Linked DNA regions of Yarrowia lipolytica. Each later gene encodes a partner of the first gene's protein in a complex. Links are inferred from orthologs where the notes say so. Each region holds a gene or a part of one and is shown on either strand. Other genes may lie near its edges.

Region 1 (6,601 bases):
AACAGTCAATGTTCCCATCATATCTCGGATTTCAGTACAAGTAGCTACTTGTACTCGTCTCATTTGTTTTTTTGGAAACAGTGCCGGCCCCTTATAAATACTTGTACTGCATCTCATGCAGCCGTACCCGTGAGCATATAGAGGACGAGTGTTTCATCAAGTCGCTCGTTGGTTTGTTTTTGCATGATTACTAATTGAGACAAATATTTGAGAGAGTGATGTCCGAGCTGGAAGTACAGTATGTACATACTCGTACATGTACAGACTCAAACATAAAGAAGAAATCCGGACTTCTCAATGATCTTGCACTATATACCCCTCTTAAGACGACTGCGAAGCCCATCTTCATTATTACTAACACTCTCGACAAAAAACATGCTTATGCTTATCTACCCACTGGTGACAGATGAACTCGAGACCCATAGAACGCCACAGAATCACAGTGAAGCAAAGTCATGATTCTAACAAGCAATTATGTTCCTCAAACACCCTTCAGCAATATTACGAGAACCTCTCGCTAGTCGCCGTCTCTCCACCCAGCCGGCATATCCGCGGCATGTCCAGATATAGTTCACTATCTCAACGCCGTCTACTCTTTCCAACATGGTTTATATGCAGTGGTGGATCCAAAACCAAGCTAGGTAGCCAAATTTCTTTCTCCTGACACATACACACCACATAACCGCAATCACCGACAAAATGACCGATACTTTCGATCTCTCTCTTAAATCAGCCAACAAAATCTCCGACAAGCTGCCCAAGGAGCTCCAGAACCCCCAGATCGGTATCGTGTGCGGATCAGGTCTCGGCGGCCTTGCTAACGCTCTCAAGGCTGAGCCTCAGGTCACAATCGAGTACAAAGACATTCCTGGCTTCAAGGTCTCTACCGTGGCTGGCCACGCCGGCAAGCTCGTCGTTGGTCTGCTGGGTGAGAAGAACGTCCCTGTTGTCTGCATGGTGGGCCGGTTCCACTTCTACGAGGGCTACGACATCCAAGACACCGTCTTCCCCATCCGAGTTTTCTCCCAGATTGGCATTAAGACCGTCATTCTGACCAATGCTGCCGGCGGTCTTAACCAGGACTTCAAGGTCGGAGATATCATGCTTATCAATGACCACATCAACCTACCGGGCCTGGCAGGCAACAATCCCCTGAGAGGCCCCAACGACGAGAAGTTCGGAGTCCGATTCCTACCTCTGTCAGATGCCTACGACCATGATCTGCGACGAGCCGTCTACGACATTGCCAAGAAGCAGGGCGTGACTCGAGGCATCCACGAAGGTACTTATGCATTCGTCTCCGGACCCACCTATGAGTCTCGAGCTGAGGCTCGAATGCTATCTACCATTGGGGCTGACGCCGTCGGTATGTCTACAGTCCCAGAGGTGATTGTGGCTCGACATTGTGGAATCAAGGTGCTTGCTCTGTCACTCATCACCAACGTTGTCGTTCTCAAGAAGCCCGACAGCGCTCTGAACGACAATGCTGCCAAGCTTGATGAGGGTATTGCCGACCACAGCGAGGTCATGGAGGAGGGTCAGCGAGCTGCCGATGATCTCGTTGGCATCGTTACCGATCTGGTTAACGTTGTTTAGTTACTAGTTTAGTCGACATTATCTATTTTACTGTGTGACCTGTAGTGCAGTTATCTGGCAACTGTATGGGTAGGTGCCTCCAATTGGTGATCTCGAGACACGATCTTTACATAATTGAACATAGTAGGAGGTTTTTCTACAGTATTTATAAACATTGAAACCCGTATTCCCATTGCATGTCACTACAATTTCTCCCGACAATACTCATACATATATTCTCTATGGTTACTCCTCGACAACACCAGCGGACTCCCACTCGCCAGTGAGATTCTCCTTCCACAGAGTGACCTTGTTGTCGCCTCCAGAAACTGCCAGCACGTTGCCGGACAGAGACCAGCTAACCTTCCACACCACATCGGGGAAGGGGATGTCCTGAAGCAGCTTCTTCTTCCATGGCTGGTTGCCCTCCTGGGTCCACACAATGACGGTCTTATCCTGCGAAGCGGAAGCAATGTAAGACTTGGACAGAACAGAGGAAGACCAGGCAACGTCTCGAACCCAGTCCTTGTGGCCAGAAAGTGTCTCCTCAATCACGTAAGTCTTGGAAGAGGGGTCGTACTTCCAGATCTTGACGAGGTTGTCGCATCCTCCAGTGACAATTCGAATGTTGTTTGATGCTTTGCCGTTGATGGGCTGAATGAGCGAGCCGGACACGGCAGGGGGAGCCCAGGAGGCGGAGTTGGCGCCCACATCATGGGCGGCGAAAGTGGTGGCCTCGCAGTTACCTCCCTCCTTGAACTCGACTACGGACACGTTGCCGTCGGAAGAAGCGCATAGGAGTAGGGGCCCGTACTCCTGGGGAGCCCACACCACCGAGTTGACGGAGGCATTGTGCTGATGCTGAGCAATGTTAGTCCATCGACCGTTCTCCTCTCGCCAGATGAACACCTTGCCATCGTAGGAGGCAGAGGCAATAATAGAGCCGAACTTGGGATGGGCCCAGCTGACCTGCCAAACGGGGCCCTCGTGTCCTCGCAGCGTCTCGACGAGTTTGTGGTTGTCTCCATCAATCTCGAAGATCTTGATGGTCTTGTCAGACGAACAAGTGGCCAATCGCTTGCCGTAGTAGTCCAGGACGGCGTCGTGGATGAGGTCGTCGTGCGTGTTTCCTATGGTCACCTGGGTTAGCTGATTGCCGGATCATAGCTGTCGTTTCCATACTCACCATTCTGATGGATAGTTAGATATGTCGTGTTCTCACGTTTGAGTTCAGTGATGTGTGTGGTGGGTGTGTCCTTGCATACGGTACTCGTAACCTGTTGTAGGGACAGGAGCGACGCGGGAGGGAGGGACAGGCAATTTCAGTTGACACTCTGACTCAAACCACCATGGGATTAATGTTGGTAATTCACCACTTTCTATCATTCATTTCATCATTCCTCCTACATTGAGGTGTTGTGCAACGTGTACCTGCAAATTAAAGTTGTAAACGTAAGGGATCATCGAAGAGACGTGAGGTCGTGGAAACAAGTAAACACGTAACCACGAGGGAGTGGATGTTGATAGAGAAAGTGGTGGAGAGGTACGAAGAGGTATAAAAAAGCTCTAGGATAACGGATCAGACAAAAAAAAACAGCTCTAAATCAATAGAAGGGATGGTTCACTATGGCTTGTTGTCAGCTTGAACGAAAGTAAAGTAAAATACTTAACGGTAAACCAACCATTCGCATACTGACGCACAAATAATTTCTGTCAACCGTGAACATATTCTTTTGACCCAAGTATTTCGAATTGGAGGAGAACTAAGAGAGTGAAAGGTTTTCAAAATAAGAGAAAACCCATGGTTTTGGTGTAGCCATTCAATCACGCACTCCTGTCATATCAACCATAGCCATCTCTTACCTCACTCTCCTCCAGTATCCATTTATGTAGAACTCTAATAAGATCTTGCATGATATGACAAACTGACCATTGTTGATACGGCAATCACAGTGGATATGACGAGCCAGTTCAAAAACAGCATCAATGACTACCTGGAAGGTCTTCCGGAGGCAGTACTAACTCGGCTGTACCAGTCTCCGGCCACATGTCTGGCGGTGTTCCGACTGCTACCTGCTCTGGCAAGAACACTCATCATGGGCATGATTTTCAACCCCGATCCCATAGCAGTAGCCGACGTCGACGCTCTGGTGAAGCCTTCAAGTCAGCGACTCAAGCTCGAAACACAGAAGAAACTGCGACTGCTCCACATTTTCACAGAGACCCAGGCCCATATCATCATTAATCCGACATTCAAAAAGAACCTGAGGGCAGCTCTGGTAGGAGGAGACCAGAACATTTCGTTTGGAGTGCCCTGCGACACGGAAGACAAACACAAGGTGGATGTGGCGTTTTTGGATGCTCACGCTGTCTCTCAATGGGAGATGATCTTACATTTTATGGTCGGAACGTCGATTGGAAGAACACCCAGTGATGGAGTGCTCAACCTGCTGAAGCACAGTGGACTTATGGAACCCGAACGGGGAGGACTGAGAATCACCAATGCAGGATTCCAGTTCTTGCTACAGGATGTAAATGCTCAGATTTGGACACTGTTGCTCCAGTATCTCAACATGTCCGAGTATCTGCAGATGGATCCTGTAGACGTGCTCAACTTCATTTTCATGCTAGGTTCTCTCGAGCTAGGCCAGGACTACTCGCTCAGTGCACTCTCCGAGACACAGAAACACATGCTGGAGGATCTGCGGGATTACGGTATCGTCTACCAGCGAAAAGCATCGTCTAGACGATTCTATCCTACGCGACTGGCTACTACTCTGACATCAGAAACGGCTGCACTTAGAACAGCCAGTCAGAGCATGGAAGCAGCTACACAAGACACAATTTCGTCTTCTGTTGCTGCCGACTCTGGATTTATCATTCTGGAAACTAATTTCAGACTCTACGCCTACACAGAGTCTCCACTACAGATCGCAGTACTGAACCTTTTTGTCAATCTTAAGACACGATTTGCAAACATGGTTACCGGTCAGATCAACCGAGACTCGGTTCGATTTGCGCTCTCAAACGGTATTACTGCCGAACAAATCATCACATATCTCTCTGTTCATGCACACCCACGTATGAAGGGGATGGAACACGTTCTTCCCCCTACTGTGGTGGATCAGATCAAACTGTGGCAACTTGAGATGGACAGAATCCGAGCCACCGACGGTTACTTGTTCTCCGAGTTCAAAAACTTTGACGAGTACAAGGATGTCTCCACTTATGCCAAGGAGCTGGGCGTTCTCTTGTATGAGAATCCTGGAAAGCGAAAGTTCGTGTCTACGCTTGCTGGTTCTCAGCAGATTGTTGAGTTTGTCAAACGACGAAATCAAAAGCACCGTAGCTCCGCAAACTGACCAACTAGAAATTGACCATCAAAACCATAGCATATAATAGATCGCACTAATAAAACAAGCGATGTCAACGTTGAAGTTATTCAATCCATACTATATACTGCCCAGACATTTCCTTCATTAAAGCCCATAAGCGGAGGAAAAAGCACTGTCAATATAGACAGTGACAGCATCGCTGGACCCGTCGGGGCTGAGTCGCTCGGACTTTGCCAAGTCTCGCACTAGCTCGTCCAGTTTGGTAGATTCACCCTCAAGCTCAGCGACAGAGCTGTTCATGAGGAAGCCGGTGACAAGGTCGTCGACGCCGGCAGCAAGCTTATAAATACGGGAGTTGACACTTACAAGTCTGTCCTTGGAAGTGGCATCAGCATCAGCCTTGCATAGAGACGAGTATCGTGATGCCAGAGCCTGAACGAGCTTGAATAGGGTAATGAGCTTTGCATGCCACTTCTCAGCCAAAGCAACAATTTCGTCGCTTCGGGAAGTAGGGGCAGCGGGAGCAGCAGGTTCTGCCTCGTCATCAGTGTCTTCATAGTCGTCCAGTCCAAAGGGATCATCATCTTCGTCATCAGCATTATCCAGCCACTCCTTGAGCTCGTTAACAGCATCAGTCATGACCAAACAGGTCTCCTTGAGACGTCTCTTGGCGACGTCCAAGAATGGGGTCTTGCAGAACTCCTGGACGGCGTTGCAGTATTTCCAGGTCTGAGCTACTCGAATCAGTTGCTTGGAGTATGCTTCAGCAGCAATCTGTTCCTCTTGCTCCTCAGCAGACAGTTCGGGGCCCTTGACTTCCTCCTCCACAGTGAGGTTGCCAATTGCATCAGTCACTTCGTCGTCACTGTCACCTACAGGCACGTTATCAAGCATAGTCTGGGCAGCCTTACTATCCATCTTCAGAAGAGACTGGACAACACGGCTGAAAGTCGAAATACCACCACAGACATCTCTAAGCTTAATACGAAGCTCCTTTTGCATCAATTCGTGAGCATCACTACTGTCAGACAGAGACACAAAGTTCTGATACTCTCCAGTGAAGGCTGGCAACACCTTACGCAGATCAGAAACAGTATGAACAGCAATGTCCACGGACACAGGGGGCTTGAAGGCCACACCACACTTGGTCATGTGGGCATGGCACAATTTCGCTAGGTCGCTGACGGTGGCGAAAATCTGCTCATCGGTCTTGTCGGTCTTCTTCTCCACACTCTTGGTCTCCTTCCACACGATATCTGTTGCTGCGAGATCCTCATCGAGCTGTGTGAGCTCGGCAAACAGCTTGTTGAGCTTCTCTGTGTCGGGGTTGTCGGGCTTGAGTGCCGCCTTGGGCTTAGCGGGCCGTCTTTTGTTTCTAGGAAGGACCATGATCGTGTAATGTTAGTCTCCAAACGGGTTGATCAAATAAATTTCAATCTAGGTTTTCTTGCAGGAGATGGTGATATGGCCAGTATGTACAAAGGCGGTGGGTTCTTCTCGCTATAAGAGATTCTGTTGCCACTACAGTAATACCGATGCATCATGTAACCTGTACCGGTACTTATAGAACTTCACGATTCAAACGCCCTACTACAGTAAGAACATGACCGGCTCGTACTCTCATATCAACTCACATCAAGTAATTACAGCATACAGTCTCGTCAACTTATAGTAGAGAAAATTGGCTACAA
Region 2 (8,188 bases), on another chromosome or scaffold:
CATTGTCACGGTCGACTACAGAAAGGGTGGAGTCAAGGCTCCCATTCCCGACGGAGTGCGCAAGACCCTTGACAAGCTGGCTGCAAAGACCACCCCCAGGCCCGCCAGAAAGTAGACATTATGTATTGTATTAATTGACATTTGATTGAATGAACGAATATAGCGGCACGCTTGGTTGCAGCGATTGCGATAACATGTATACGTATTGTTCTCACTTCATACCGATATACTACTTGTAGATGATGAGCAACCGGGATGATAACATGTTGGAACGGCCACTGGCTAAATTCAGCCATCTGCTGTTAAACTCAGCGCCTTACTGATAACATTTCAGTGTCCTAATGCTTCTACAATTCATTTCAGGACGTAGTAAGGTGTTTTCGAATGTATTTAATTACAAGTACTGTAATTTCAACGATCGAGTAAATTCCAAGAAATCTCCCAACTAAAAACCTGAACACTATTGCCGATTCATGATCAGGCTATAGACTATATAGCTAGAGGAGAGAGATTCTGTTTAAAACATAGACATTCCCTACTGATTGGTGTATTTTTTTGACTCTTTATCCCGTCTGTAGCACCGAGTTGGGACCTCAGTGAACTTTTGTTTTAACAATATCCCAACTAAAACTAGTGAAAGTGAAGTAATATCTGTTAGTGTTACTGTATATACTCATATTTTCTAAGTAGAGTTGTAATTATTAAATATATATACAGTATATATATATTTACTGTACTGGTACAGTACATGCAAGTATATTCAAGATCAATTACTGATGATTACTAACTTTCTACTCCAACTATAGAGCTGTCCAAGACGACATATTCCCCCAAAATACCCGTCAAAGTTTGCAAAGATCACGATACAACTCTTCCATTATCTCTTTCATCATATGCCATCTTCTTGTGTCGGTCGTTCGTCTTCATCGTACTATTCTGATAATACTTGGGTTTACTTAGACCTTCCAACTATACCCCACACAGTCCACCAATTGAAGTAATAATGAATGTATTATGCAGAAAGATACTGCTACAACATCCTGTCTAGTTTCATGTAGTTTGTTGTAAAACACAAGAAGCATGATCCCTTAACCCTTCTCTCTACAATATAGGCGAAATCCGGGCCAACCGTGTCCACTCAGGCGCTTCCTACACGTGAGATGGCTCGTTTATTGCCTGCCAGACGCACGTACTGGACGCACCCCCAAAGTTAATTGACAGTGTAAATGTCGACTTTTAACCAACTACTGTACTGTACTGTACTTGTATCGTCACACTCCCTGTCACACCACTACCATGACCTCTCCTGACCTCTCCACTCTCGCGATTCACGCAGACGACGAACTCGCTCGAACCAACGACGTGGCACCCTCAATTGCCGTCTCCACCACCTTCCGGTACTCCAGCAACCCGGAGGATCTGGTCCCTCTGGCTGAAAACGAAGATGAAGCGGCCTACGGAACCAACGAGTACGTCTACTCGCGGATCGCCCACCCCACCACCTCGCGAGTGGAAAAGGTGCTGTCGACCATCTTCAACAACAAGTTCCCGGTGGTCTACAACAACGGACTGGCTGCGTTCACGGCCCTGATTGTCCACGTCAACCCCAAGCGCCTGTTCATCGGAGAAGCCTACCACGGCTGCCATGCTGTCAGTGACATCTTCAAGCGAATCCGATACAACTTGGAGATTCTGTCGCTAGACGAACTGGACAAGGTGGAGAAGGGAGATCTGGTTCACCTGGAGACTCCTGTCAACCCCACCGGTTACTCTAGAGACCTGTCTTACTACGCCGACGCTGCTCACAAAAAGGGCGGCATTTTGTCTGTTGATGCTACCTTTGCTCCTCCCCCCCTGCAGGACCCCTTTGATTTTGGAGCCGACATTGTCATGCACTCAGCCACCAAGTACTTTGGAGGCCACTCTGATCTGCTGGCTGGAATTCTTGTCGTCAAGACGCACGAGGAAGCCGATCAGCTGGTTGGTGACCGATCTTTCCTCGGATCAGGTCCCGGAAACCTCGAATCGTGGCTACTGCTCCGATCTCTTCGAACTTACAGGCTGCGAATCAAACAGCAGTCGGATAACGCCACCGCCATCACCAAGTACTTCTCCGACCACCTCTCTGACTTCCCCGCGCTCAAGTGTGTCCACCACTCGTCCTTTCAGACCGAGGACTTTGTCAAGAAGCAGCTTGTGGGAGGCTACGGACCTGTTTTCGTGCTGGAAATGCAGTCTCGAGAAGCCGCCCGAGCTCTGCCCAGCAAGCTCAAGTTCTTCAACCACGCCACTTCTCTTGGAGGAGTCGAATCGCTGATTGAATGGCGACTCATGAGTGACGCTACCACTAACCCTGCTTACCTGCGGGTCTCTGTTGGTGTTGAGGACGCCAATGACCTCATCGGCGATCTCAAGCAGGCTCTTGAGGCTTCCAAATAATCTAATACACACTATTGACTCTGTATCACGTGCATTTCTATTGCTAGCCTCAAGAGGTCTGTCTTGCTCAAATTATCCGCAAAAATAGTCACAATCTACGTAACTTTTAATAGCTATTCATACAATCAATTATCTATATCGTCTTCTTCTCCCTACATGTTAACACTGTTGAGATTGGTGTCCAGAGCAGTGAGCTGCGAATAAACCTCTCGAGGCATTCGGTACTGGATCATGCCGGCGTAAATCATACAGTTTCGAGACCGGGCCTTGAGCTCGGCCAGCCGGTCGCACCGAGTAGCATCGTTGAACTCGGACTCCTGGATGTTCTGGGCCAACTCAGCACAACACGTCATAGTCATGAGCAGCAACGAGGGCACATTTCGAGCAGTGGACTCGTGGAGAGACACAAAGTCCTGAGCACGTCGACGAATGGTGCCTACGTCGGCGGTAACGTGGATGGGGATCACATTGATATTGTCAATCACAGCAATGCAATGGGCCCAGTGGCCACGCGAGTACGACTCCCGAGCAGACACAATCTGCAGAAGAATCTCGCAGGTATCTCGGTTCCGCTGCGACACATGCGAGTACATCTGGGGGTTGTTAGTGTATAGTTCTCGCATGGTGGCGGCCAACTGAGCGGGGTTGGTCGCGGTGGACAGCAGAGAAAGCGACTGGGCAGGCTCCACGTTCGAGTCTCCAAAGTCCATCATGCTCAGTGCGTCACCAAGAGTTCGGTTCATGATAGACACGACAGTGTCGTACTGCTCAGACAGCTGATAAAGGAGAATCGCGTCAGCGAACCGACCGTCGTCCTCAGCACGCAGAGCAGCCTGGGCAGTGATCTGAGTGAGGAAGTCGTCCTTGTCCAGACCAATGAGCTTGGACCGACGCTCAATGCAACCGGGAGACCGAGCTCCATCGGCTCTAATGTCACCCAGAAGAACAGAGAACTGCCGAGTCTCGAGCACAAGCTCTCGCAGGGCCTCGTGACAAGCGTCCTCTTGATCTCGGTAGAAACACAGCAGAACAAGGTAGTCAACAGCATCAACAGCATCTGATCGTCGGAAGTCCCGGGTGTAGTGTCCAATCAGACGAGCAAAATGAAGAACCTGTTGGTCCTTCTTGTCCACAGAAAGATATGAGCCATCGGAGTCCTCGGTATCTTCGGGCTTGGAGACACGCAACAGCCCATAGTAAGCCAAAGCAATGGCATAATGAACAGCATCAACGGGACAGAAGGTAAGAGCATAACTGACAGCAGCCTCAAAAAGACCACATAGAAGGAGCATTTGGAAATAGAGACCGGGAGATTTACCAGAGGGGTTGAAATGCTTGGATCCAAAGTTGAGCACGGTTCGCTGCACGTCCAACAGAGTGTATCGATCCTGAAGAGGGCCGTCCACAGTCTCTCGAGAAACAACAAGATGGGCCCACAGCCAGTCCTCAGCAGTCTCAAGAACCTCGGGGAAGACCTTTCGAGACAAGTCGCATCGGCCAATGATCTTGTACAGAGCAAACTTGAAAGGATCGGAATGAGCATCGAGGAACCGAATGTGCTGGTTAAACTCGGTGAGGATCCGATCATGCATGTCACGTGACAGCACGTGATCCTTAGACTTGACATATGCCTGGAGATAGACGGGGAATGAACGTTCAATCTTCTCGAGCGACGACTCAATCTCAAGAGTAAAGTCGAGAGCCTCCTGAAGATGTCCAGATCGAACCATATAGTAAAGAACAGCCCAAACGGGCACTCCGTTCAGAATTTCCATGTTCTCCTTGGTCCATTGGCCTCCTCGGAAGTACCGCACGTTCAAGTAAGCTTTGATTTTGTTGTAGACTGATGGCACGCCTCCCAAAAGAGCGTCCTGGGGAGACTTAGCAATCTCGGCCTCGACACAGGCGTAAAACTGATGCTCAAGATACATTTTAGAACCATGGGAGATCTGTTTTCGCACCTTGAGTCCGTCGGGGCTGCCGGGAGGAGCAGCGTACATCTTTCTGTAGATTCCTTCTTTGGCAGGAGCCTCGACCGACTCTCCAGAGATGTACGACAGAATATCCCATGCATCGTTGAGCTGCTGACTTTTGGCGTCAGAGAGGTTATCGGCTGCAGTGGAAAGAGCTGCGGACACGGGGAAGGCCTGGCCCTTTGATCGGGCATTGTTGAGCGCCGAAATGGCCTTTGCGAATTGCCGTTGTCGTGGAGTAGCAGTGCCAATCTCAGGAGTGCCCAAGATGAGTTTTCCGAGACTCGCGGCGCCCCAGGTGCCCCCCAGGACTGTCTTTGTCAGCTTGTTGTTTGTGTTGGTGGTTGTGTTGTTGTTGAGGTTGTTCTTGTCGTCGTCCTTCTGGATCAGGCCAAAGTGCTGGCAGATCTGCTCCTTGCGCTTGGCCCAGTCGAGGGACACGTTCTGGTTGAGAAACTGGTCAAAATCTGACGCTGACAGTCGTACAGAGTCTGCAATGGCCGCCAGAATGCTGTCCTGCTTCTTGTTCTGCAGATACGAGTCGATGCCCGCAACATTCTTGTCGTAGTACTCGATCCCGGGATTGAGCGTCAGCGACGACAACTGCAGATAAATGTCCTCCGCGTTGATTCCGCTGCCCGCCAGCAGGTAGTGTGCCTTTGTGTCGTTTCCCTCCGAGTGTTTGTCTCGCAACGAGTTTGCTCGCTTGCCGATCTCGCTCAGATCGAGCTGAATTGAGCCCAGGTGCGAGGCGGCGTGGGGCAGATTCTTGCTCGACGCAATCAACTCGTTGAAAAGCGCCACCGAGGGCGTCAACGTCTCAGCCATGGTTGTGATGTGTGATGGTAGGCGTGTAGCGAAATGTGTGTTGTGGTACCAAATAAACATTTATTTTAGAGTTTGAGGATAAGTGACAGATTATGACCGTGTTGAGGGGAACAGGATATATAGGATACTCGTCTGGAACATAGTTAGAAGAAGCAATTATATAGATGGAGACACCGAGTTGCAATTTCATTACGCTGTTACGCTTTCAGCCGTTTCCAGACATCCTTGTACATCAACAATTGATAGTTAGATAAACTCAACAATGTCAACAAAGCTATCTACACTGTTGGTATGCTACTGGACCTATTAGTTAGCTTTACTTAACCTTTTTTTCTATTTTCCCAACAAAAACGTCCCCATCGTCAGTTCCATTATGATCCATCTAACTCCACCAATATTGATCCTACGCGATTAGTTAAACAGATTACTAACAATATATGCTCCTCCTATTTCAATCGCCGTCTTTCTCCTCATATATCGCACCGAAAATCAGCACATTCGTGCCGGACATTATCGTCCCCTTTTTCCGTTTGAGTTTTTCAACACAAAAAATCTCGAAACCCTATAATGAAACATTTTGACAATACTGTAGTCTTGAGACTGTCCACAGTCAGAAGACCCCTCTCACAAAAACCAATTGTCTTGCACAAAAACATTTTGCCCCTCGATGTTCCTCTTTGTAAAAATATCATCTGATTCCGAAATCTAAGCTTCAAAGTCTCAAACTCATCTCCCGATACACTTCCCCCCCCCTCTCCCGGCTCCACAACCCACCTACACATGCGACCGACGATACACAGGCCGGATCTGGGCACTCTGAGAGCCATTCTGAATGGCCACGCAGATCAGGAAACCGACAATGACACGAGAAAAAGGGTCAAATTGCTCAGATACATCATTGTCGACGTGTACGAGGAACTGGTGACCACGTTTGTACCGCGGTGGACACATGCAGACTGGGCCTGGTGTATGAGAGTTGTGGTTGAAAAGTGTCTGCGAGATATCATGCGTATGGGGCTCATCACCTCTATCTATGATCTTGTCTATTCTCTGTTTGTGGGTTATGTGGGAGCTCCTGTCACGAAGGAACGCCTGCTGAGGTTTGCCGGCGGTTACCACAACCCCTCCACCAAGTTCAAGGATGCCTACGATATTACTGTGGCGTATTTCAGCATGTTTGATCACGACGAGAAGAATGTGCAAGAGTTCTTGGCCGAACATGACGAGACTACCGCTCTGGAATACCTTCAAATGGGCTACCTAGAAAAGACACCGATGTTTCAAGAACAAGCGACGGACGATATAGAGGTGCTGGAGACCTATTTCGCTATCCGAACGTACCTCTGGCGAAACGCAAGGTCGGCATACTTTCAACTGAAAAGAGATGGCGTGGAGGTTTATGACTTTGATGTTGTTTTCGAGCAGCAAACCCCTCCTTTTCTGCCGAATGTATTCATCAACCTCGCACTCATCTTTTTTACGGCTTGTGGATGGCTGCCGGTAGGAGACAATGTTGGACTGTTCAGATACCAGAACATGTGGTTGGAGAACAGAACTAAAGGAGACCCGGGACTTCAGGACAAACTGTATGCCTTGTTTAGAGCCCAAGGAAACCCCAGAAGTGACTGGGAAACGTGGTGGAAGAAGCTGAATCCACTTCAGCGAGATGTGGCTCATGATCGCATGACTCTCATAGGTCCTGGACTGCTGGACGTGGCTTCTACGCCCTCACCCAGACCCGTGGACCAATTCCTGGTCATGTTTCCTAGGGCGACAACAGAAGTTAGCCCAACAGTTCAGCATTTTGTGGCAAATCAGCTCCAGATGGGCCAGGTGCTGCATTCTGAGTTCCTACTCAGCATAAGGAGATACAACAAGATGAGATGGGACAGAGAGCAGTCGAGCAGGCTGAAAAAAGATACCGGCACCAAATGGGATGGCCCGAAAGGGTACGAAAAGATTTACAATACGGTTCCATCCGGATATTTTGACAATTTGGTGGACAAGAACTTCTATCTCGATGACTACATCTTTGAGGACAAGGTGTATGGTATTCCTAGCCCCGCTACTGAAGGCAGACTGATGGGATTGCCGTTCCAAGAGCATCTCGAGACACTTCAGAGAACCAAGGAGTTTTTCTTTTTCAAGTCCATGTTCACAGACTCACGTGACAAAATCAACACTTACTACGGCATGTTTCTCCAGGCATGTATTGAATACTCCAACATACACGACCCAGAAATATGGTATAATGAGGACGATGATTGGGTTGATTGGTATGTTACCGATGAGGAGCATCCTCTGGTGGTCAAAGACAGACGACTATTTGTACAGCCGATGCCGTCAGAAGAGAGAACTCTGGTGATAGAAGGAGACGAGTACCATGTTTCTGAAAGGGGGACTGTCTGCTACGCCTATGATCCTGAGGGAAAGCCCATCTATGCGACGGCCTACTACTGCCAAAAAGTGCTGGACAATCTTCTCGGTAAGTGTGCTTTCGCTCCTCTTGTGGGAGTCTGTCACAAGAACAGCAACTACATGGTCCAGTTACCTCGATTGGAGGTGACAGAATACATGGGAGGAGAAACAGTTTTGTTGTGGAGAGGTTACGAGTTGGTGGATTTGGACTTGACGTATTGGCACAAACATCTGGGCCATGCGGACAAGCAGAAGTTGAAGAGGTATCGAAAGGTGATCAAGGGGATGCCACCGTATTTCTGGCAGTCCAGAGCAGCATGTGAGGAGTGTTGGTAGTGATTGGAGGGTATGTATATAGAGAGAGGGTATGGTATATATAGCGAACCGAAGGTATTTATTATATTAGTATATTTAACCTATTTATTTTATTGTATTTATTACTGCACGTACAATACTGTAGTATGTACAGTACAGTCGCAAGCACCTATTTGGGGTTGTTATTTTGTTTACTAACTCTATGATATAGTTGT
Region 3 (8,406 bases), on another chromosome or scaffold:
CCAAGGTCTTGTCCATGGCCGTCAACCCTCACGTTTTCTTTCTGAGGTCTCGTCTATGGCAAGGAGTCTGTCTCTTGGACAACAGCTGGACGGTGGTGGTTTTCCAGACCCTTGAAAACGAAGATATTCCAAAGTTGGCATCTTTCATCAAGGATAACAACCCCGACGAGATACATCTCACCAGCGTGCACAAGACTGGATTGGCCAAAATCAGAGACGGAACTCCTGGAGACTTTCATTTGACTAGTGAGGATGGACAGAAAATAGAGGTCCATAAAACGGTGCTGCAACCGCTGTGGCCGTTCTTCTCGGCCACCATAGACTCGAACATGATGGAGGCGACGGAGAACTCCCTGGATCTGCCCTTTCCAGCATCGACCATCGAGGTCGCCGTGCGATATCTCTACGGGCAGCCTCTGGAATTCGGTTTCGGCGATGCAGCTAATCTTCTCGTCATGGCTCAAATGTACGACTTGCCCGAGCTACTCAGTCTCGCGGTGGCCAAAATCAAAGCGGAGGCTCTGGACGTTCAACAAGCCATCATGTTGTGGAAGAAGTCGTTTGAAGCCTGCAACGACGACCTGAGAAGCTACTCCGCTGCTAGAATCAAACAAATGATGCCAGACATTTCACATTCCAAGCTGCTAGACGATCTGGATCGAGACGAGATGGTGGCTTTGTTCATGGATGTTTCGGGAGTCGAGTCCAGGAGTTAGCAACATCATCAAATGACTCTATTATGCTTGCTTGGACATGGTCTTAGAGAGTCTTAGATAGTTCCCTACTGCAATTATGACAATATTAAATGGTATCAATTAGCTATATTCTAGATGCAAGTTGGACTCTCCTTGCGAGTATGATTGTGGATTGTAGTCCATGGGGTCTCGTCTTGGTTGTTGGGTCAATTACGCCTTCCGGGGAGAGTCACTGTAGTACATGTAACGTCCTGTGGGGGTGAAGCTCTGGCTCTGGTTGAGCTTGGACTTGTTCTTGGGGGTACCGATGGGCGTGCTTTGGCTGAGCGACATGTTGGCGGTGGTGTTGGCGGCGGAATTCTTTCCAGTGGACTGGATAGTCTTGGCGACATTGACACCAGACTTGCCCAGAGGGGAAGGAGTGCCAATTCCAGGCACATTGGAGACCACGTGGTTAGGATGGCGTCTCAGGGGAGAAGCCGAAGGACCCAGAGACAGATTTCCAAGGTCCACAGAGGAGTTTCCGGGAGAGGCTGAAATGGTTCCCACCGAAGACGAGGAGGTCGAGTTGGATCTCGATCGCGGTTTGGGCGAGGGGAAGTTCATGGAGCCCGGCGAGTTTCGCACGTACTTTGGAGGCGTGGGGACGTTTTTGATGTCGGTTTTCTTGTTGAGTTTGGGCAGTCCCATGAGTTCTCTCTGCTCGTCCGTCATGGGCAGATCGGCGTACTTATCCTGGGGCTGGACCAGGTAGAAGAGTGCCTGGAGAATGTTGGTGGCCAACACGCCCTGGATGAAGTATTGCAGGTACAGAACATACTTCCAGGTGGGGGAGTCGTCTGGGGGTAGGTGGATGAGGTCGTTCGGAGCGATCCAGTCAAAAAAGACCCGCTTGACGAACGATCGAAAGAGCACAAACACCAGCCAGCTCAGAGCGTTGTAAACCACCCGCTTGACCATGGCCTCCTTGCTGATTCCGCTTCGTTGCTTCACCACCTTGAGACTGGGATGGGTCCACGATCCCGTAGGAGTGCCTTGGGGGGTGGCTTGGGTCGATCTGTTCGGGGTCGAGGGGCCGCCAAACTTGGGCGTGAATCCGGCCTTCGGCGTCACCGGAGAAGCCTTGAAGTTCACTCCAGACGCAGATTCGCGAAACTGGTAGTGCTTAGGAGTCGAAGGCAGAGAAGTCGTCATGTTGGAGGTCACATTGCCGGGTGTGCTCTCACGAGTGGGACTGGGCATGTCATCAAGAGTACCGGCCTCGTACAGACGCCGAGTAAACGGCGATTGGTCCATTTTTGTCAGTGTTTTGTGTGCTTGTGTGGTGGTGGCCATGATCCACATTTATTTGTTGACATGCATGGCATAACTAGGGTTAGGGTAGACAGAGTGGGCGGTCTGTGGAAAGGTATGTGAATGAGGGTAATGAGGGTAATGAAGGGATTATGGGGGTGGAAAAGGTGATAAAATGAGGTTTCAAACAAGACTTTTTTTACCCATTCTCAATTGAGCTTTTTTTGACTGAGTTGGAGGGAGTAAGGAGGATGGTGTTAGGTAGGTTAAGTAGTAGTGACACTATTAGTTGCGGGTTTTAACAAAACAATATGATTACTGAATGATACGAGATGGAGAGATTCCGAGACAACAAAAAGTAGTTTTTATTGTCGGCTTAGTCGTTCTCTATTAGTTGTTCAAATATCCCTCGCTAGTGTTCGAGATAGTGCGATTGTATGTTCAGTCTCACTAGATTAATTAGTTGACTCACCAGAGTCTTAGTTGAAGATTAATTGAATAAAAATGATTTAGAAGTAAGCTACAGTATTGTTACAAGTAAATACTGTAGGCATATAATTACCTAAGCCACCAGCAACCCGTGTGTGGACATCTCGATATCTCTCCAGAATGCCACAACACAATTGGCCAGTCTTGCACACGCCAATAACAGGCTCACCAAGCATGTAGCCCTCTATGGTCCGTTTCCGACCTTGTACCATTCCCCCCATCGATATCTTCTTCGAGCTCCTGTAGGCAACATCTCCAACAGTTCAGGGAACTCGCAGAGGTGTTTCAGGAGCACCCAACAAGGCCTTGCATGTATGTGGAGGATCTAAGCCGAGAATTCTAGTACATTATGTACTTGTATATGCTCCATGATCCCATATCAAGAAGGTAAACACATTCTTCAATAATAAGTTGATTCGTTAAGTAAGAAGCGGTTGGACAGTGAGGTGGGGTTTGGGGAAGTTGTCGACTCATGACCAGGGGCTTTTTGTTCCGTTGACTCGTTCCGATTGCCATCCAGTTAAATACTGTTACACAAACAGCTGCAATTCGGAACAGGACAAACATCGTGCTTGGAAAACCATTTCTGCACATGACCCGCATGCATGCCATGATTGCAGCTCAGACAGAAGCTGAACCAATGCGAAAACTGGTGGAAAGCAAAGTTGTTCTTCTCCTGCTCAACGCGGGTGTCTGGCATAGCTTCTCCCATGGTCAGCAGACACACGGCACACCGAGGAAGAGGCGAGTTGCAATGCGGGCACTTTGCAGATGGAGTAGACGTAGTTGCGGGCTTAGACTCGTCCTTGAAAATGTTCTTGTTGCAGTATGAGCACCGAAGAAACACCTGTCGAGGCTTGGTGACCGCAGTAACCGATCCAGAGGAATTCTGGCTCAGCTTGGTACGCGCAATATCAAACAAAGCACGTTCCTTGAACATTCCCCACTGGTTGAGCAGCTGCTGGTACGACAGAATCCACTGCGAGTACCGCTCATCCTCAAAGAACCGAGGAGCTCCAAACGAGGTCAACAGCGCTGCCGTTTGGATATCACCAGTTCGATCCACATAAGACTGTAGCAGATCAACTGCCCGGGGAGTGATTCCGGTCAAAATAATGCCTTCCAGCTCTCCTCTGCTAACAGCCTGATCCCCCAGTCGGTTCAGATAACTGGTGAGATCATTGTCGGGAAGGAACCGAAGAGCCACACCCAGGCGTTCCTTGAGAGGCAAAGAAGACTCAGCAAGCACATCCAGCCAGTCTCCATCGGCTATATAGGCGAAAATGGCCCGAAAATAGGCATTGTCCAGCTCAGAAGCAAGCCGTCGACACTGCTCTCGCCAGGAAGAGTTGGCATTTGTAGATTGAGACAGATATCCTGAAATGGCGGTCGAAATGATTCGATGCCGCTCCTTCTTGGACCCAGCAAGACACTGGACAGCTCGCTCCACGTTGCCATGGAACACCGCCCAACCTGCTGCCTTCTCGTACTCGCCCTTACCTTCGGCTTTCTGGATCTCGGCTTCAAGCTTGTCGTAGGAGAAATCCCAACCAGCAACATACAAGCATAGTTGTCGTTGGAACTGCTTCTTTGTGCCCGCCACAGACGCGGAGATGTAAATCTTGCGTGTGAACTCCGTCTCCATCGCCAGCTGAATAGCCTGGGCAAACTGGGACTCCGTAGCGTCCTTTTTCAATAATCGATTCTGCTGCAGAGCAAGACCCTGGACACCCTGCCACACGTCCAGAATGCCCTCGTAGCCAAGGTCAAAGAATTCAGAGACAACTGACCGGTCAATATCGGCCTTTTGGGCCCGCGAAATCCACTTCCACGTGTTTTTCAGATGGGCAGGCCAGAGACTGTGATTGTGGCTCTTGAGCAGACTCTTGTTGGTAGCAGTGTCGAGTCCGTAGCCGGCCAGAGCTCGTTTTCGAATGATGGTGGAGATGTCGTTATCCAAAATGTCTCTGAGCTTCATCAGCCCGATCTGAGAGTCGTTGCTGTAGTTACGAGCACGTGGGGAGGGCTCTTCTTCGTCAGAAGACACGTCTGGAGAAACCACCGAAACGACAGATTCGCGCTGATTTTTGAAATCGACTTCTCGGACTTCATCACTGGGCGTCTCAAAAAACACGTTCGTGGCATTGCTGAACGTGAGGGTGTTCAGGGGATCGAACCGCAGAACCTCGGGCGACTCCTTGGGCCGGAAACAGTACACCTGGCCTGTTCGTCGCATGCAAATGTATTCGACAGGACACTTTTCAGGCTCGGCGTGGATGTAGTCGAAGCCCAGAAGCTTGTCGAGCGGCATCTCCACGTCCTTGGACGACCGCACAAACAGGTATTTGTCAAGAGAAGCTGTGGGGTCAGACGGTGGCTTTTGGAAGTCGAAAAACCGATTCTGAGACGTACTTGATGTGGGCTCGTTGTTCTGTTGATTCTGATACACGTCATCATCACTTCGAACAGCCAGACCGATATCGATTCGACGAATGGACGAGTCTGTGTTTCCATAGACGGTCATTTCTCCCCGTCTGGTGGTGCAATATCTCAAGTGAGTAGCGTTCGCTTTTCTGGGGAGTTCGGAAAGAAGACGTGGAAATAGTAGCATCGGCTCGTTTGACGAGTTTCCTCCGGGCTGTCGCAGTTGACGTCGATCCCAGACGGCCATGCTTCCATCTTCTCCGTAGGATGCAAAGTAGTTGGGTTCGTGGGGGTAGGTGGTGATTCCTAGAGTGCATCGAGTGGCACACTGGTACAGAGGAGTTCCGGATCTGGTGTCGATTTCACGCAACAGCTTGTATGAGCCACAGAGCACGTTATGAGTCCTGGGGATGAACTCCAGACTCGACACAATCTCGTTCGGGAGATAGGTGCTGAGAGGAGTGATATTGCCGCCCTCCACAACAGCATTGACGTCCCAGATATGCAGGCAGTTGTCGTTACGTGTCTTTTCCAGTCCCGCCGCGAGAATTCCATTGTCAGAGAAGGCTAGAGCGTTGCAGGTTCGGCTCTGTTTGGAGCGTAGTTTGACCACCTGCGACTCGGGGTTGTTGATGTCGAATAGAAGCACCGATCCGTTGAGCTGCGCCACAGAAATGATGCCCTTGTTGACGGGCGAGTATGCCGAGCAGTGGATCGCCGAAAAGCCGCTTCGATACCTGATCTTCTCTGGCTCGGTGAAGCTGTCTTTGAAGAACGATTTGTGATTGAGGGGAAGTTGGTAAAGCGACACCTCGTCTCGGGTAGGCGACACGCCGATGATGTGGTGTCCGTCGACGCCGGGACCAGGAAGAGAGTCCCATTGGTACGCGTGAGCGATTGATCCAAAAGTCGTCATCTTGTTGGGGATGACCTGAGTTGGGTATTGGCTCGTAGAATCGTCAATTTACGTCCGCTTCGAATTCTGAAAGTAGCGGTGAGGTCAGCAGAGATGTAGCTATGTCGCGTCTTGGTTTGGGCCCTGGGTCGACTCTGCTTGTCGAAATCCGGGGATGCTGTGATGTAGTCCGGAGATGTAGGGTGATAATGATAGTGCATGGCGCCTAGAGTCGGATGTTATCGTGAGTTCGATTCGGGCTGGAGAACACAATGTGTTTTGCTTAGCAGTAGGAGAGTATACGAGATAGCCCAAGGGGTAAGACGTATAAACGACAGCGAGGGTCATTCGACAAGATTTTCGACTCAGCAAAAACCCACAATCGTCTGTAGAACTGACAGTGTAGTCCTCCACACCATCAACTAGTCAATTAAAAAGCCAAGTAATATCCCAACTAAACGTAGCTGGAAGATTAGCTACTAAACAAGGTTACAGTGTGCATCTCAAATCATTTTTTTATGCACCTGATTTTCAACACCGTTTTCAGTGTCTCCGCTACTCCGACACTGCTCTCAAAAATGCTCAGAGCACAGTACAAGGTTTGTACAGGCCGGCAGACGCGGCTCCTGCACTCGGCCTACGTGCTGCGAAAAAAATCCGACTATGAAGACACCTTTATTGGCGAGTTTGAACCTCCCTCCACCAAGGCTAGGGGTTCGTTCAAGGACCCGTTTGCTGCATTCAAGAAAGCCACGAAAGAGCAGGGCGACGATCCCCTGACATTTAGCAAGTTCTCTTTCAACGACGACAACCTGGACAGCTCAGATATCGGTTTCGACGATTTCAGCTCCGGATTTAACAAGACCAACCGATTCAAATTCGATGCCATGGAGGACGAGACCAAGGCATTCGACGCGCTTGGCCAAGACGATCACAACAATGCCACGTTCGACTGGTCCGGCGGATTCGATCAATGGGGAAAGTCTGATATGTTCCCCGAAGAGCCTAAGAACCGATATGTCATGCCCCAGAACCTGGATATGTCGCCGTTGAGAGGCAACAGCGACCAAATAAGTACACACGTTATTCCCCCGTCCGAGTTTGGAGGAGCTCTGGGGAGCTCTGCGCCGTTTGAAAAGATTTTTGCAAAAGTTATGGGGGAAGAAGCGGCTACGGAGACAGCAACAGGAGCAGGAACGCCACCAATGTCACATGAGTCTGAGTACGAGTCCCGTGAAACCGCAAACTTGGATGCTATCAGACAAGCCAGTGGAGTCGAGCTTTCCTCTATCAACTCGCCATATGTGAATCTGTTCAACTCTGGTGTTCCTGACATGTTTGTTGAGATCTGTGCCGAGCCCGATATGGATGTTCGACATGATCGGATTGATTCTCTGGATCTCAAGGAATGTACCGAGGTGGAAATTGCTATGATGGAGCAACTCAAGAAGCTGATTCGATTGGATTCTGACTACGATATTCTTGAGTTCATGAACAAGCAGCTCGATGAGATCGAGGACATTGGCCAGAGCAGAAAAAACCTCCCCTCTGAACTGCCGCCTGTGGCTGCCGGGTTCCCTCTTCTGCTCAACGAGTCTCTGCAGCTTCTGGTGGAGAAGTTCGAGTCCCCTGCTGACTCCGTGGCTCTGTTTGACGCCGTCAAAACCCGTTCCGGCAACCTCTACTTTGCTACCGTGTCCACAGACGTGTACTTCACTATGATCAGGATTGTGTGGGAGTTCTACCGAGATCTTTCCACGCTGTCGGTGCTCGCGTCAGACATTGCGTTGATGAATATCAAATCTCGAGCCTTGATCAAGGCAATGGAGGACATTGAGCGAGACTGCTACAAGACGTTGGAGTCGCGCAAGCGACGGGTGCCCGAGTATGAGGAGTCCATCACTGCGCGGGTGCATGCCGAGACCCTGCGGCGGTTTTCGCTCATTATTAACTACCTGAGACGAGGACTCAGAATGAAGGACAATCGGCAGAGAGCGTTCCGATTGAGAGGAGAAGTTTGTACATATTAATTCGCATTTTACTACTTAAGCGGGTGGAGACTTTAGAATGGCAATTCTTGTGAGACGCAGTTCTAGTGACGCATCTGTGTGAGTGTATTATAGAGCTCTCACCCTCCATCAGACCCAGGTTTTCCAGGGAAAGAAGCCCCGTTCCATCTTGCGATACATTTCCACAACATTGAAGAGCCAACTGAGGAAGCGACTCGTACATGTGCAGCAGATCTGCTCGCCTCTGAGGGTCAACGTAGAGAGTGTAGGCCAAGTAGGCGACTCCAAGGGAGATAGCAGGGTCCATGATGGAGATCAGAGCCATGCTTCCACTTGACTGGATGGCTCCAGACGCCACCATCAACTGCTGGGCATCGGCCAGAAGCTTGAATACCTTCATACAGTTGGCCAAGTAGTAGAGAACCTGGTTGACCGCTACTTGATTGGAGGTGTAAGATTCCGGGACCAGACATTTGACGACAGCGTAGTATTCGTACATTTGAGACGCTGACGAGGATAGAACTTTTCGCGGGCAGGTATCCTTGCTTTATACGATAGTTCTCTGATAGCGTCTGGGCATGGTTGCTGCATTCGCCTCTGA
Region 4 (7,302 bases), on another chromosome or scaffold:
CGAGAAAGAGATGAGGGGGATTTCCCGCTCGAGTACCGCGACGAAACCAACCGACCTTGGTGGAAGTTCTTTGACGAGTACGAGTACCGGATGAACAAGTACGAGAGAGCTTCCCACAAGTGGTTCAAGTGGTTCGACGAGAGAGACACAAGGTCAGACAAGAAGTTGATTTGCAAACTCGACATTCTGTTGACAGTTTACTCACTAATGGTGTATTGGGTCAAGTACCTGGATCAGACCAATGTCAACAACGCCTATGTGAGTGGAATGAAGGAGGACCTGGGATTCAAGGGTAACGATCTAGTGCATGTCCAGTCCATGTATCTAGCTGGAGCCGTCATATTCCAACTTCCCTTCATGTTCTTGCTTCCCAGAGTCCCTCTGAATATTGTCATTCCGGCTGTGGATTGTATGTGGGGATTGATGACTCTGCTGACCTGCAAAGTGCACTCGGTGGGTGCTCTGAAGGCGCTGCGATTTCTGGTTGGAGCTTTCGAGTCCGGCTTTATTCCCACCATCTATTACCTCATGGGCTCATGGTACAAGCCCTCGGAGGTGGCCCGAAGAGCTGGTTTCTTCTACATGGGTCAATTTCTGGGGTTGCTGAGTTCCGGCCTGCTAGCCAGTGCAGCTCTGAATCTCGACGGAGTGGGAGGCTTTGAGGGCTGGAGATGGGTGTTCATCGTTGACTCCATTTGTACTCTCCCTCTGGCTGTTGTAGGGTACTTCATCATCCCTGGAACGCCAGACAAATGCACTTCTCTGTTTCTGACTGACGAGGAAATCATCCGATGTAGGGAACGCAAGAAGCCCTTTGTGACGGAAAAGAAGGGCCAGCAACTCAAGAAACTGACGGATTGGTCACTATGGAAACCACTACTCACCTCCTGGCATCTCCCGACCGCCATTCTCATCTCCTGCTTCTTCTACAACAACACCAGTGGAAACGCGGGCACCTTCATTCTCTGGTTGAAGAGCCTGACTGATTCCAATGGAAACCAAAGATACACCGACCAGAAAGTCAACCAGCTCAGCACAATTGCTCCTGGTCTAGGTTTCGCCTATGTCTACCTGGCATCTCTGTTTGGAGACCTTGCACGATGCAGATGGGGCGGTATAGTGATCACTCAGATGTTCAATTCTATCGGAGCAGTGATTCTGGCTGTCTGGGACGTTCCAGAGGGGGCCAAATGGTTTGCCTTTTGTCTCCAGTACATCTCCTGGGCCATGAGTCCTATCATGTACACTTGGTGGGCAGATATCATGAGACGAGATCCACAACACTACGCTATAGTGCTTGTCATGATGAATATGCTGGGCCAGAGTTCATCAGCATGGGTGTCGGTGCTTGTATTCCCCACTTCTGAAGCTCCCAGGTTCAGAAAGGGATACGGAACTTGCGCAGCTTGTGCCTGTTGTTGCGCGATTATGGCGGTAGTCATTTTGTACTTTTATAAGAGAGACGAGAAGCGAGATTGTCTGCGAAACGGAATTCTGCTGGTGAATGATAATGAAGATAATGGCGACAAAACTGGCAAGGGAGTCGTTATTGAGGGTCTTTCTGAGAGCTTTGATGAAGATACTGGAGTTGCGAAGAAGCTTGAAGTCGAAAAGATCAGAGAAGCCAGTGTTAGTGACGAAAATGTCAGCAACCTGTCGTTGGTGGTTATTTGATGGTACAGTGATTTGATGGTAGAGTAATTTGATGGTATAGTAGCTACTGTACAGTATGTATAATTGATCTGGTTTGCTACAATGTTTATGACAACAGACCTTTGTCACTACGAGTATGTACAGTACTCGCAAGATTTCTGTCTGTTTTCAAATTCATCATCTTATTAGCCTCATGGCTCACTATATACAAATCTGTACTCTTTTGGGTGTCCGGTATTTACCTGGTCGTCGATAGGATGGAGTCCACTCGCGACCAAAGGCCATTCATTAGCGCTTAAGATCGTCCCTGATGCTTCTCCTTTCCAATGAAAGGAAAGTTGAAAGCCGACAGCAACGCTCGGGCCTCGGAATCAGCCTGGGCGGTGGTGTGGATGGTGATGTGCATTCCGTACATCTGCAGGTAGGCGTCCTGGTTGGCCTCGACCTCGGGGAAGTTCTTGACGTCCTCAGGGATCAGACCAAAGGCGATGTTTCCGTTTCTATCTCCAGACGAATTTCGAATTCCGTTGAATCCAATGGCTCGAGGCAGAACCAGCTCTGTCAACGAGGTCATAAAGTCGGAAATCTTCTCGCCGGTAATCTCCACTTTGGCGCCCATGGGGTAGCCCTTTCGGAGCTTCCAGGTCATGATATTAGACCGGGACCGGACTTCCTTAGCAGCACAGCCGGTGATCTGCTGCAGCAGGAGTTTCTGGTTGATCACCTTCTCGTGGTCAAGAACAGTGCCGGGGTCTGTGCAGTTGATGGTGATCTTGGTGATGGCAGGGATGTTCTTCCAGGTTCGAGGGTGCACGTCCTTGGTGGGGGTCTTGTTGGGACCTCGAGGGGGCTGAGCAGGTCGTCCAAGATGGTAGGGCGAAGTGAAGTCCCATGGTCGGTGCTTATTTCCCTTTCGCACGGACTGTTCGTGGACATAGCCCATCAGCAGCATGTCTGACGCGACCGTGTTGTTGTAGTGGTCGACAACCCGGTCAACACGGGTGTTCTTGGGCACATACTTGTTGGACTCAATCGATCCAGGGTGGGTCAAAAGAGTCTTGGTGAAAGCCGGCTTGAGAATGTTCTTTTTGTATCTGTAAAGATGGTGAACCGGCGGCTTGATCGAGATCTTGGCGCCTCGAGACACGGCCGCAGAGGCGTGGAAGGAGCGGGTGAAGACCACGGACATTGTGAGTTGTGAGGGTCGTGATGTGTAACGCAGCACAAGAAGGTGAGTGAAAATTATTGACTTTGGGAGTTAGTAAGCAGGGATGAAAAACGCAAGTGATTATCCGTAAAAAAAGGCGTGGGTACTAGTTAGTAGTAATCAACCGACATGGGCTTTGTATTGGTAACATCATTGACTTCTAATATAGAAAATTTCCCGAACAAAACTACCCGGTCTAGAATATACACAGAATTAGCAATTTGGCGTGAATATTTGGGTCTGCCTTGAAAATCTCTCCAGAACTCGGGGAAAAATAGGAAAACACATAAACAGTCGAATAGCAGTCTGTATATGGTGAAATTCTTTGTAATATCCCTTCTTTATCTCCTGTTTTGGCGCAGTAATGATGTCCACTAGTAAGTACCAAATATACGCCTACATGACTTTTTGGCGTGCACATTCTTGTCCGGTGATTACAATGCAGTATTGGAGTTGTGTTTTGGGCTTGATAAGGAAGACTGTGAAGTGGGATGTGGGTGGGCGGTTAATTAGTAATCAAAGAGGTCGTTAGTTAGTCATCTTACAGTCATAGATTATGTAAAATATCACGTGACGTCTATGATCCAGTTGATGTTACTCTCATTTCAATCGCACTGTTTCTAGTATCGTTTCAAGACACATTGCTTCACCCTCCATACAGCTCGGTCTGCATATTCTAAGTTGCATGTATCAAAAAAGTATAGCCGACTGAATCCATCAAGACACATCCAGGACCATGAAATTCAGCCCATTGAGACCGGCGGTGTTGACGCGGATTCCGAATTTCGAAGACGGATACGACCCGCTATGGGACGATGAGGAGCTGTCGCAGGAAATCAGTCAGTACGAGATGTCTCTGGAGGAAGAAGGCACACCCAGTAAGCCTCCTCGGAAGACTCCTTCTCAGTCGAGATTTGCAACGGAGTACAGTGCCTCGAACAGTCCGACTCGGCCGACGAAACCGGCAGTGTCATCTCCTTTGAAGCAGGAGCACAGAGACGAGACTCAGGACGTCAAAGAAGACTCATATCGCTCTATCCACGATCTGTCTTGTGCAGAGTGGGAGGGTACATTGAACCGGGTGTCACTTATCCTTGATCAATGTCATCTGAGTCCCGTTGGAAATTTCAAGCGGGGTCATAGACGGGGTTCCAGTGTTAACAGTGTGTCTCTGGGTTCCCCGGTCGACCCTGCGGCTGCCATTGATTGGGGAGCTCCTTTAGCTCAGGTCGAGAAGGAACTCCAACATGTGGAGGACGTGTGGGCGTCTGAGGAGCTCAAACGACACAATGACGTGGCTCGACGGGAGTCTGTGTTTATGTCTCGGATGGGAGACGATCGGCTCAAGCAATCTGATGAGCTGGCCAAGAAGCGGGAAAAGAGAAACAGCGTGATTGTGGGCGGGTTGGTTGATCAATGGGAGGCTGAGAGACGGGAAGAAGAGCGGCAAAGGCTGGAGGCCGAGAGGAAGGAGCGTGAGAGGATTGAGCGTGAGAGAGTGGAGGCTGAGAGGAAGGAAAAAGAACGACTTGCGAAAGAGAAGGAGGAAGCTGAGAGACTCGAACAGGAACGACTTGCGAAAGAAAAGGCCGAAAAGGAGGCGGCCGAGAAAAAGAGAATCGAAGCCGAACGTTTGGCCAAGGAAAAAGCAGAGAAGGAAGAAAAGGAACGTCTGGAAGCGGAAGAACAAGCCAGAAAGGACAAACTGGGCCAGTTTACAAACTGGAGAGCGGTCGATAAGGAATTCCTCCAGTGGAAGGCCAAAATTGAACAAATCAAGAAGGACATCAAGGAACCGGTGGCCAACAATGCCGAAGTCAAGAAATTGTGCAATAAATGCAAGCGCCAAATCAACCCCAAGTTCGGACAGCTCACGCCTTCAGTTACACACACAAAACAGATCAGTGAAGACTTTGTACAGATTTTCAATGAGGCCAAGCAGCACAGTGAGCTCGTCTACCTCTGGCTCCTCAACTTCTTTGCCAAGAGCATTGTTCGACAGGCTGAAAACGAAACCATTGTCGCTCCTCAGAGTGCCCTTCCCTTAGGAATGTTGGCCGCAAAGATCATGTCTGTGTTTCCGGAGCTCACCGATCTCATGGTTGCTCGGTTCGTCAAGAAATGTCCCTTTGTGATTGGCTTCACTTGTGACATTGACACCGAGCAAGGACGAGAACGCATGGCCTGGAGAAAGCCTGGAGGAAAGTGGGAAGACGAGACTGTGTACTCTGAGCGAATGGGTGGAATTGCTTCAGTGTATGTTGCTATCACCCAGATCAGATTTACTGCACCCGCCGAAAACCCCAGACCCATTTCCTACAGCTGGACCATGATTGCTAGGTTGTTGAATACGGAGACAGAGAAACTGACTAACACGCATTTCACGGTTGCCGCTTCATGGTGGGAGGTGATTGCTGTGAGATTCCTGGCCACGTACGGCATACAGGGCAGAAAGATGTTGCACGCTGCATGGGATCCTTGGACCGCTAGTTGCGGAGATAAGAGGTTTCCTGCGGGTGCGAGACTGAGATTGATGGGTGAGGAGTGGCAGAAGACAGGTAATGTGAAGGGACTTACGCCAATGTCGAAGAATTAATGAGGAGAGATTGGAGAAGGGGTTGGACGAGAGCACGCAAGAGCGAGCAAGAACGGACAGAGAGCTCAACTCGAAAAATGTACCCACCAAAGTACGCGAGAAGCGCATGGCGACTTTGACAACATATCCTGCTCGCTACGACGATTTGGTGTTCATGGCCGTCTTTATGAAATCTACGGCTGCTGACCTAGGTATGGGCTAGACTGTCGTCTTGATGCGACGACGTGATAACTAGAGCAACTTTTCACTATAACGATGGCATTTGATTGATTTATATAACAGTCTGGAGTGTATCCTGTGGACTCAACATGACCTCCTATGGTACGTAGTCGTATGACAAGTCGGTACGGTAGTGAAGAACTAAGAGGAGATCAAATTGTTGGATTGTCATGCTCAGACTCTCACGTCGGACACCTCGACGGCCTTGTGAACATGTGACCATCACTTTGTTCTACAGTATGTATGGCTATACCAATGTCAACTATTTCACATTTCAGGGGATCTACTGAGCGGCTGTCCCCACACCCCATCTCTACATTCAAACAGCGTAATCAAACATAATAAATAACATGTACTTAGTCAGTGACCGTTCTACTCCATCTTCAACCAAACACCATCATCATGACTCATGGTCAAATGGGTATTGTACTTGGGAGGCAATGGCTTATCATCACAACTGGTCACAGTCTCAAACTCCTGAGCAAGTCTGGCCAAAACATACCCAGCCTCGGTAAGGGCAAACTGCTGACCTAGACAAATTCGAGGACCACCATTGAATGGAAGATACTCCCATCCTCGGGCAATCTGATAGCCCTCAGCAGGATCCCATCGCTCAGGAATAAACTCCTCTGTATCCTTACCCCAGTACTCCTCAGCTCGGTGGGTATGATAGACAGAGTAAACCACGATACCGCCCTTTGGGATGAAGATGGGCTGGTCAAGGTCAGGACCTCCTCCCTTGGGAAGAGTAGTATCTCTTGTGGCCACTCGGAAGTTCATGGGAACAGAAGGATAAAGCCGCAGACCTTCGTTAAGCACGTATCGGAGATATTCGCATCGCTTGAGTGACTCAAAAGACAATTCGTCGGGAGTATCACCAAAATCATTAATCACAGCCTGTCTCAGCTTCTTCCAAGTTTCAGGTTGACGAGCCATTCGGAACATGACCCAGGAAAGAAGAGATGCGGTGGTGTCACGTCCGGCAAGCAAAATGTTGAGCATCTGGTCTCTGAGCACCTTGGGGTTTCGGGTCTCCTTTGCCAGCTCGTACAAGAAAATGTACTTGCCCTCCTGGTCGAGTTCCTGGAACTTTTCTTTTCTGGCGGCCAGAGCCTTGGACACGTAAAAGTCGGTGAAGTCGTGCACAATCTTGTTAGCGTCGGCGTACTTCTTTCGGTAAAAGACGGTTCCAGCGAAGAAATACAACTTCATGAGTTTGGCTCGAATGGAACAGAACCACTGAGCGGTATTAAAGGCTTCAGGGAAAGCTCGTCGCACATTTTCGTCAATACCAGAGTGGTCGAGCTGGGGAGCAGTTGGGTCGGCCAAGTAGTCGGTCAAGGAATCAACCGAGTCTCCGCAAAGAAATTCTGTGGCAGTATCGAGAGTCAACATGAAGAAGAGCTCCTGGATATCAAAGCCCTTGGCAGGATCACACTCCTTGTTCTCCTTCTTGATGGTCTTGAAAAGCACCTGAATGTGTCTCTCTAGAGAAGCCACGTGACTGACCTGATCCCGGGCGAATTGAGGTCGCAGTAGAGCTCGGGAATGGGTCCATCCCTCTCCATCGAGAGTAAAGATACCGTCTCCGAGAGTTGGCAGCATGATTTTGTGACGGGTTCCCAGT

Evidence for each region.
Region 2: YALI1_F37734g (region 1) and YALI1_C30399g share a complex: the UniProt entries of both Saccharomyces cerevisiae proteins name them as parts of the nuclear pore complex. The link is inferred for Yarrowia lipolytica from reciprocal best matches to the Saccharomyces cerevisiae genes SEC13 and NIC96.
Region 3: YALI1_F37734g (region 1) and YALI1_D23693g share a complex: the UniProt entries of both Saccharomyces cerevisiae proteins name them as parts of the SEA complex. The link is inferred for Yarrowia lipolytica from reciprocal best matches to the Saccharomyces cerevisiae genes SEC13 and SEA4.
Region 4: YALI1_F37734g (region 1) and YALI1_B02874g share a complex: the UniProt entries of both Saccharomyces cerevisiae proteins name them as parts of the nuclear pore complex. The link is inferred for Yarrowia lipolytica from reciprocal best matches to the Saccharomyces cerevisiae genes SEC13 and GLE1.

The regions. Positions count from the first base shown.
Region 1 is NC_090775.1:3,770,730-3,777,330, forward strand, and holds YALI1_F37734g (uncharacterized protein), read right to left. Parts: upstream 2,765-6,601; coding exon 2,762-2,764; intron 2,716-2,761; coding exon 1,822-2,715; downstream 1-1,821. Other genes in the region: YALI1_F37714g (uncharacterized protein), read left to right, coding at 700-1,596; YALI1_F37742g (uncharacterized protein), read left to right, coding at 3,534-4,937; YALI1_F37770g (uncharacterized protein), read right to left, coding at 5,055-6,299. UniProt on the Saccharomyces cerevisiae protein: Functions as a component of the nuclear pore complex (NPC) and the COPII coat. It is one of 5 proteins constituting the COPII coat, which is involved in anterograde (ER to Golgi) double-membrane transport vesicle formation.
Region 2 is NC_090772.1:3,037,110-3,045,297, reverse strand, and holds YALI1_C30399g (uncharacterized protein), read right to left. Parts: upstream 5,301-8,188; coding exon 2,592-5,300; downstream 1-2,591. Other genes in the region: YALI1_C30454g (uncharacterized protein), read left to right, coding at 1-115; YALI1_C30440g (uncharacterized protein), read left to right, coding at 1,297-2,439; YALI1_C30392g (uncharacterized protein), read left to right, coding at 6,021-7,994. UniProt on the Saccharomyces cerevisiae protein: Functions as a component of the nuclear pore complex (NPC).
Region 3 is NC_090773.1:2,366,675-2,375,080, reverse strand, and holds YALI1_D23693g (uncharacterized protein), read right to left. Parts: upstream 5,818-8,406; coding exon 2,998-5,817; downstream 1-2,997. Other genes in the region: YALI1_D23753g (uncharacterized protein), read left to right, coding at 1-716; YALI1_D23730g (uncharacterized protein), read right to left, coding at 906-2,039; YALI1_D23721g (uncharacterized protein), read right to left, coding at 2,643-2,748, 2,824-2,951; YALI1_D23688g (uncharacterized protein), read left to right, coding at 6,315-7,826; YALI1_D23668g (uncharacterized protein), read right to left, coding at 7,842-7,888, 7,941-8,304. UniProt on the Saccharomyces cerevisiae protein: Component of the SEA complex which coats the vacuolar membrane and is involved in intracellular trafficking, autophagy, response to nitrogen starvation, and amino acid biogenesis.
Region 4 is NC_090771.1:283,708-291,009, reverse strand, and holds YALI1_B02874g (uncharacterized protein), read left to right. Parts: upstream 1-3,596; coding exon 3,597-5,456; downstream 5,457-7,302. Other genes in the region: YALI1_B02910g (uncharacterized protein), read left to right, coding at 1-1,674; YALI1_B02881g (mitochondrial 54S ribosomal protein uL5m), read right to left, coding at 1,949-2,842; YALI1_B02850g (uncharacterized protein), read right to left, coding at 5,630-5,816, 5,862-5,986; YALI1_B02833g (uncharacterized protein), read right to left, coding at 6,048-7,302. UniProt on the Saccharomyces cerevisiae protein: Functions as a component of the nuclear pore complex (NPC).